Lonchura striata: one gene and its partner. Each later gene encodes a partner of the first gene's protein in a complex. Links are inferred from orthologs where the notes say so. Each region holds a gene or a part of one and is shown on either strand. Other genes may lie near its edges.

Region 1 (3,907 bases):
AGGAGGTGAACAGTACAGTGGGGATCCATATGAGGCTGTATTTTGGAAACAGATAGGACTTTCAGTCCTCTCTGATGGAGGTGAGGTAGTTTGAGAGGCACATTTTCCCTGGAAATTATGCTTTAAAAATTAATCACTTGTGCTGCACTTGAGCTTTGTGCAACCCGCAGGAATCAAGGACTCAGCAGACACAAGCACTTGTGCTGCCAACAGGTGAATGAGATTTACTTTCCGGGTGTTTTTTTTGTTTTGTTTTGTTTTGTTTTTTTGTTTGTTTTCCGCCCCCGGCGTGCCCCGCAGCCGGCAGGGAACGGAGGCTGGCTGGCTGCAGAGATCGGCAGCTGTCATACGGTGGGAGGACCCTGCAACACCGAGTTAAATCTTAACTTTGCTGTGCATTTCCCAAGGGACGGATGCCTGTGACGTTAAAGGGAAACCGTTTCAACACTTTATACTTTTAAAAGCCAGGGAATGCGCTCACACGGAGCCACAGAATCAATGAGGCTGGAAAAGATCTCTGATAAGCTCGAGTCCAGCCCATGACCCGACACCACCACGTCAGCTGGACCACGGCACTGAGTGCCATGTCCACTCTTCCCTTAAACACCTCCGGGGACGGTGACTCCACCGGCCCCCTGGGCAGCCCATTTCAGTGCCAAATCACGCTTTCTGAGAAGAAATTCCTCCGAAGATCCCAAACCCCTTGACGCCGGGGCTGCGTGAGGGACCCCGATCTCCCCCACACTAATGACCTTTCATGACCTTTAATGACATTTCGCCTCTGGCCGGCAGGGGGCGTTGGCCGGGCGGCCGCCGCAGCGCAGGCCCGCGCATGCGCAGAGCGCGGGGGCGCAGGCCGGGCGGCGGTCGCGGCCGAGGCGGCGGCAGGAGAGCGGCGGACGGGGCAGCGCTGCCCACCCTCCCCTCCATGCGCAAGATGCTGCTGGCCGCGCTCTCCCGATTGCTGCAGGGCCCGGCGGCCGCCGGGAGGACGGTGAGCGCGGCCGCTGAGTGCGGCCGGTGCGGCCCGGCCGGGAGCGGAGCGGTGCGAGGGGGCACGGCTCCGGGAGGGACGGAGGGAGCGGCCCGGGAGCGGGGGCCCGGCGGCGGAAGGGAGCGGCTGAGGAAAAATTAATGGGGAAAAGAACCGCGTTGGTTTTTCTTTCCCTCGCTCTGACGAGCCCAAGTGACAGTAAAATGGTGGTCGCGTCAGGAGCTCGGTTCTTAAGCCGATAATGGCGCAGGGCTTGGATCGATACTGGCCGTGCTTACTTAGACTGCGCGGTCAGCTCCCGCAGGGCGATCCGCTCGGCCCGCTTGCAGTTCAGCTTCTGACTGCACTGCTTGACCTCCCTTCGCTCAGCCAGCGGCCCCTTTCTACCTCTGCATCAATTGTGTTTCAAAGTTCGTTATTTTTTTATTAGTGTCACTTCTTGTATTTTATGTTTGTTGTGTGAAAAATTGTGCTTTTACCGCTTCATTCAGCTTATTCCACTGTAATGACTGTGGCCACGAGGAAAAATTAACCCTGCTGAAAAAAAAACTTGTTGGTAAGGCCAGAGTTAAAAGGTACTTTTTTGGTAACTGGAAATCAGGAGCCGTTTTGCCATGGAGAGCAGATGTGTTGCTGCAGCCCCCTTCCGAGGCAGCTCTCTCACCCAGGCATTCACTGTATGAGGATGACTGCATCCATCAGAAAAACACAGGGGAGAAAATTTACTGGAAGCTGTCACTATCTCTCTTTGGGCTGCATATCTAGGAGTATTTCCTACTTCACAATAGAATTTCTAGATTAAATTTTGCAAATATGGGTGCCTAAAATTTGTCCGTTACTGCAAGTACTTGGCCTGCTCTGGAGATACTGTGTTCTCCTGGAATGCCAAAGTAAATCTGGTTCAGATATTTCAATAAAGATTTTTTGGATCCTACTGCTTACCAAATATGTAAATATTTGTCTTGTATTGTTCCTATGGCTCTGCAGTGAAGGCATAAATTAGCAAATAAATAGAGGCAGACTTAATCTATAAAGCAGTATCTCATATATGCTTTGAGCATTTTCCAGAGTGTACAGATGGATTTCCATGTATAGAAACTAGCACTTGCAGTGTTCTATTCTAGTTGGATAATAATTTGCTGACTTCTCCTCCCCTCATTATTTGATACAGCTACTTACTCTTCTTTTTTTTTTTTTTCCCTTCCAAATGCTGCTAACCTAGGGAGCCGTTAGCGAGGTAAGGCCTCAGTCAGTCTTGTCAAGGTTTACTTTTGATAGATGTACTGCCTACATATCAGGGCTTTGGTTCAGACTCCTCAGTGTGCTTTTAACCAGGAGTTTAACCAGGTGGCCTAAAGAGATCCCTCCTGACCGTGGCCATTCTGTGATACTGTTAATCCATACTGTGGATTTACTTCCAGCTCTAGAAGTAAAATAGCTTTTCTTCACTGATAATACTGATACATTGTGGTAAATAGTGTAGAAACTAGGTTTAAATTAAAACTTCTAAATATTTAATCTGATAACAGGGCAGGGTGAATGGGGGCAGTGTTACTGATAAATCTGATCGATATGCAACAGAGGAGGTAACCAGGATGGGTTGAGAATTTTCTCCCAAGCTTGACACGTGTCAGTCAGAGCTTTTTTGGAGATGGTGACCTGAACATTCTCAAAATTTTGGTAGAATCTACCTTCAGCTGGAATCTACCTCCTGGCTGAAGGAGCTACTGAAATTTTTGTGTAACTTAATTAGCAGTATAGTCTTGCCACTAAAGATGCAGTGTTCCTTATGCTGTGGCCACAGTGCATGCATGGACATGGGCCATCCTGTCTGATGCTGCAGTGAAACTTGCTAAAGTCATCTCAAATCACCACCATTCATTAGTCAACAGCCCGTGTTCCTTCTTTCAGAGGGACCAGTAATGTATTTTTAGACATCCTTCCTATCTCTCCTCTACCATGCCACCCTTTCTGTTGTTCTGTGTTTCTTGTATCCTCAGGAACCTTCTGTGTTTCCACGTTATTAGAGTAGCCATAGTACTGGCCATGCTGTCATAGAAATGATGTTCTCTCTCTCTCCATTTTTATGGCTTTGAATTCCCCCAATTTCTCTTCCTATTGAAAAGAAAAAGTGAGAGTAGTTTACATTTCAGATATCTGCTGTATTTCTTTTGTTTGGTTAGTTTTGGGTGTTTTTTTTTTTTTTGTTCTATCTAGTCAAAATTCCATTTAGCACAGAGTCAGCAGTCAAAGTCTGTGTTGGTTGTCTCTCCTTATATTGTCAGCCTGGCATGTGAAGGGATAAAAAATTATTTTTGTGGTTTTGATGATCTTCATTGTCAAAAGTTTTGATACTTACTAGGTTTATTTTAGATAATCAAGGGTATTACCAGTTTAAATTCTCTTTTTCTAATCTTAATTTTAAATAATGGGTTTTAAAGGATTTTGATATATAGACTAAAAGTTCCCTAGTCTTCTGGGATATGCCACTGCTGAGTCTAATTTATAAGTTATTTCACTTTGGGAGTACTCTTAGAAATTACTTGAAAAGTCACATACTTTTACTTGATAATGACATTTAAACATTGCTCATGCTTTGGTTTTGCCTTTTTTTTAAGGCCTCTCGAGTGGTGGTAGCATCACGTAACTATGGAGACTTCGCAAGTGAAGCTACATTTGAGATTAAGGTAAAGAACACTTAATACTGGCATTTTTTGTAAGCATTTGTTAGAGATCTTAACCTGATGGACTGGTCCCCGTGTCTCTTTCAGTTAGAAAATACGGTTTGAATTTCCAGAACCAAACCCCTCACTATCTGACCTGATTACTAAGTGCAGCTGGAAGTACTGTGTTGCCAGTGTGTGGTAATGTTACTTGTTTCTTAAGAATGTGAAGTTGTGATTTTTTTGCAAC
Region 2 (3,907 bases), on another chromosome or scaffold:
ACCTCAGGCAGGATGGAAAAACACTCACGCTAGCCACTCAACATTTTCACTCCTTTATGTTTAATTGCTTCACTATGAATTCCAAGCTCCTGAAGTTTCCATCCCTTGCCCAAGGAGCTCTATGACATTCTAAGTCCTGATTCCAAACCTTTATTTGAGCCCACATTCCAGTACAACTTTGGCCCTCCTATAAGAGACCCAAAAGAGGACTCTAAATAGCCAGCCTGGTCCTGCTGAAGCAACCCAAGGCACTCAGCCTTCCAGGACCAGTTATAATAATTGGGGTTTATCCATGTACTTTGCTTCTGTGATATTAACCAATGTTTTTCCAATGAGAAACATATCTCTGAACAGTTTAGGCGGAGGGCAGGCGTCAGAAACATCGAATCTGCCTACACACAGGTGGAGCTTAGCACACATACGGACCAAGGAGTGACAGGTACGTGGGACAGCAATCCCCCTGAAAGCCCAGAGTGGGGTCCAGGGCTTCAGCAGGAGCCGGGAAGTGCCCGTTTCCATGCCAGAAGGGCCAACGAGACCGTGGTAAAAGAACTCTCCCCCGGATCAGAGTGATTCAGCAAAGACGCTGGAGCTAACCCGTTCTGCCTCTCTCCCCGCTTTAAAGTGACCCGGGAGTGCACGGCCCGACCCCCGCCCCGGCCGGAGCCCGGCTCTGCCTGCTGTGCCGCGGGCGGCAGGAGCCGCTCCCCGCCCGCTCCGCGGCAAAGCCCGCGGTCCCGGCCGGGATCCCCGCCGGGCGCCGCGGCTCTCACCCGGGCATCCCCGCCGCGCCCGACCGGGAACGGGACCCGGTACCGCCTGTGCCAGCCGCACCCGAACCCGGGGCCTCCGCTCCGTGCGCCCGGCCGCGCACGGCCCCGGAGCCCGGCCCGGCTCCTGCCGCGCTCGCCGCCCGTCCCGCCGCGCTCCCGTCCGCAGCCCCGCCGGGGCAGCCCCGGGCTCGGCCCCGCGCCCCGCGCCCGGCCCGGCACTCACGGCGCAGCTCTCGGCGCTGAGGCGGAGCCCGGCGGCAGCAGCGGCGGCGGGGACGGTGCCCGAGCCCGGAGCGGAGCCGCCGGCGCGGGCGGGGACGGCGCGGGGGCGTGTCCCGGCGAGCCCCGCCCCGGCGGCCGGGGGCGGGGCGGCGCGCCCGGGCCGCGCGTTCCCGCCGCCCACGGGGCCGCCCGGCGGCTCGGGCGCGTCCCCGCGCGCGCGTCCCCGCGGGGCTGCGCGGGCCCGGCCGGGGCCGCGGGCGGGGCGTTCGGGCGCGCGGCCCCGCGGGGGCCCCGCGCGCCCCGCTGCCGGAAGTGGCGCAGGGAGGCCGCGCGCCCCTCGCCGCCGTTCGCGCGGCGCGGGCGCTCTCGCGAGAGGCGGGGGCGGGGCCGGCGGTGCAGGGCGAGAGGACACGGGCAAGATGGCGGCGGCGGCCCTGCGGCACCTGGCGCTGCGCGCCCGCCCGGCCCCGCACGGCCGCGGCGCCGGCACCCCGCTCCTGCGGCTCCCGCAGCGCCGGGGGCTCCGCCTCTCCGCGCCCGCCGCCATTCAGGTAGCGGGGAGCGCTGCCGCCCGAGCGGGGCTCGCGCCCCTCAGAGAAGGGTCTGGCCCCGGGGCGGGCGGGCGGTGAGGGGACTTCGGCCCTGGGCCGAGGTGACTCCCGGCGTGTGGGGAGCGTGTCCCCGCTCAGCCCGCCTGTCTCGCAGGTGACGGTGCGGGACGCGCTGAACCAGGCGCTGGATGAGGAGCTGGAGCGGGACGAGCGCGTCTTCCTGCTGGGCGAGGAGGTGGCACAGTACGATGGCGCCTACAAGGTACGAGGGAGGCGTTGGCGGACAGGGAAGGGGCCTCAGGCGGGCGCTGACTCCTTTCTCCTGCCCTGCAGATCTCCAGGGGTCTCTGGAAGAAGTACGGGGACAAAAGGGTGATCGACACCCCGATATCCGAGGTCAGGCTGCCCTCTCTCCTATCGTGGTGATCCCTCCATCAGCTGCTCCCTGGTGCTTATCCCTTGGTTTTCCTCTCTTTCAGATGGGCTTTGCAGGAATCGCTGTTGGTGCTGCTATGGTTTGTACATTTGCATTTCTCTACTTCTGGTTTTAAAGGTTAAACTGTTTTTATGTCAAATAGCATACTTCATGCTTTTATGTAAAAAAACATATTTCAATACATTTAATAGGCAGGGTTGAGACCAGTGTGTGAATTCATGACGTTCAACTTCTCCATGCAAGCGATCGACCAGGTGATCAACTCTGCTGCCAAGACCTGTTACATGTCTTCAGGATCCATCTCTGTTCCCATCGTCTTCCGGGGTCCCAACGGCGCCGCGGCCGGCGTGGCTGCCCAGCACTCGCAGTGCTTCGCCGCCTGGTACGGCCACTGCCCCGGCCTCAAAGTCGTCAGCCCCTGGAGCTCGGAGGATGCCAAAGGGCTGCTGAAAGCATCCATCCGGGATGATAATCCAGGTGAGCCTGGAGGTCGTAGCAATACCTGGCAGCCGATCCTAAGGAATGGCTGGTTTTCCCCACAAAAACAAAGATTGGTTAAACCTTAAAGCGCTCAAGGTTGATTGGCTGCAGGTGTAGGGTGTGTAAAAAGACACAGAGGGATTAATGCTTTCCCTCCATGCTAACAGAGTGATTTTGTACTGCTGCACAGGCATCAACCAGGAAACCTGGAAGCATTTATAAATCTACCATAAAGGGTTTAAAAAGGGTAAAGATGAGTTAGGAGGATTATATTATTATATTCCTGCATATATAGTGCCTATATAACTCAATTTTATAGATCATGAAATTTAAATGATAAATTCAGAATGTCCTTTTTTAAGAGCAGGGCAACCTTTGACTTTCATTTTTTCACAAACAGTAATTAAAAGTTTGAAATCTTTCTAAAACTAGTGACTGTACTGTCATGTACCAAAAGTAAAATAGCTCACCTAATTTCTGAGTAGTTTTAGAAGTTTTTTAAAATATTTCATTATTGAAGTAAAGACTTAAGATTTACATTTTTTAAAATTCCTTCTGTAAACATAGTCCTCACTCCCTTGTTGCCTGGGTGGGTTTACTGTCCTGAGCTGCAGGACTGTTAGTGGTCAGTGCAGGCCTGTGCCTGCAGGTGTACATGCTAATCCAAGTATGTTTCCTTCTAGTTGTGATGCTGGAAAGTGAATTACTCTATAGTGTTCCCTTTGAAATGTCTGAACAGGCACAATCAAAGGAGTTTATTATTCCCATTGGAAAAGCTAAAATAGAAAGGCAAGGTAAGCTGAGAATGCATTTGTTTCCTTATTAATTGACATGCTTGGAGACTTTCTAACCTTTGTCTGTTCAGGGTACTGCTGTCACGGGGCAAAGGAAAGTATTTCAAATATTCTTTTATCCAGTAGTGTGGTTTCGTGTTCTGTTGCCCTTACAAGGAAATATTACCTGATTGTCCATCTCTCAGCTTAAAAAACTCCATAAAGGATTTGTTCTGTAATATAGATTGGGTAGTGATGGCTCAAACAGTTTTCTCCTCACCTAAGTATGTGATTTTGGTCAAAAATGCAAAAAGAGATCATTGTAGTGTTTCAGCCCACTTGTTCATAATTTACCCCTGAACTATATGAACTTTTGAATAGGATAATCTGAAAACTATATTAAATTCAAGGGCAAAATTTGTGTCTTAACATGACCCTTCCGCTCTTCATGTTATGTCTGGGCTCAGTATTTCAAATAAGAACCTTAAATTTGGAAGTGAATCCTAATGCTGCCTTGAAAGGAGCCTGGTCTAGAAAAAAACTTAAAATCTCAAGAGATTTTTTTTCTACCACTTGTGTCTGTTGTAGGAACTCATGTTACATTAGTAGCACACTCAAGACCCGTTGGCCATTGTTTGGAAGCAGCTGCTGTACTTTCCAAAGAAGGTGTAG

What was found.
Region 2: the proteins of PDHA1 (region 1) and PDHB are in contact, whole or in part, in a crystal structure (PDB 3EXE), measured with the Homo sapiens proteins. The link is inferred for Lonchura striata from reciprocal best matches to the Homo sapiens genes PDHA1 and PDHB. Residues at the interface, in NP_000275.1 of Homo sapiens: Ile87, Arg88, Gly89, Phe90, Glu137, Leu138, Thr139, Gly140, Gly148, Lys149, Gly150, Gly151, Met153, His154, Asn164, Gly165, Ile166, Val167, Gly197, Ala198, Asn200, Gln201, Gln203, Gly228, Met229, Gly230, Thr231, Arg235, Ala236, Asp296; in NP_000916.2 of Homo sapiens: Glu59, Gln62, Tyr63, Ala66, Asp84, Pro86, Ile87, Ser88, Glu89, Met111, Phe115, Gln118, Ala152, Gly153, Val154, Ala155, Ala156, Gln157, His158, Pro297, Val323, Arg324, Val325, Thr326, Gly327, Ala328, Asp329, Val330, Met332, Pro333.

What each region holds. Positions count from the first base shown.
Region 1 is NC_134604.1:101,797,935-101,801,841, forward strand, and holds the start of PDHA1 (pyruvate dehydrogenase E1 component subunit alpha, somatic form, mitochondrial), read left to right. Parts: upstream 1-831; 5' UTR 832-832; coding exon 833-994; intron 995-2,216; coding exon 2,217-2,231; intron 2,232-3,612; coding exon 3,613-3,681; intron 3,682-3,907. UniProt on the Homo sapiens protein: The pyruvate dehydrogenase complex catalyzes the overall conversion of pyruvate to acetyl-CoA and CO(2), and thereby links the glycolytic pathway to the tricarboxylic cycle.
Region 2 is NC_134614.1:15,786,954-15,790,860, reverse strand, and holds the start of PDHB (pyruvate dehydrogenase E1 component subunit beta, mitochondrial), read left to right. Parts: upstream 1-1,385; 5' UTR 1,386-1,414; coding exon 1,415-1,546; intron 1,547-1,700; coding exon 1,701-1,808; intron 1,809-1,879; coding exon 1,880-1,942; intron 1,943-2,025; coding exon 2,026-2,061; intron 2,062-2,173; coding exon 2,174-2,459; intron 2,460-3,145; coding exon 3,146-3,256; intron 3,257-3,823; coding exon 3,824-3,907. UniProt on the Homo sapiens protein: The pyruvate dehydrogenase complex catalyzes the overall conversion of pyruvate to acetyl-CoA and CO(2), and thereby links the glycolytic pathway to the tricarboxylic cycle.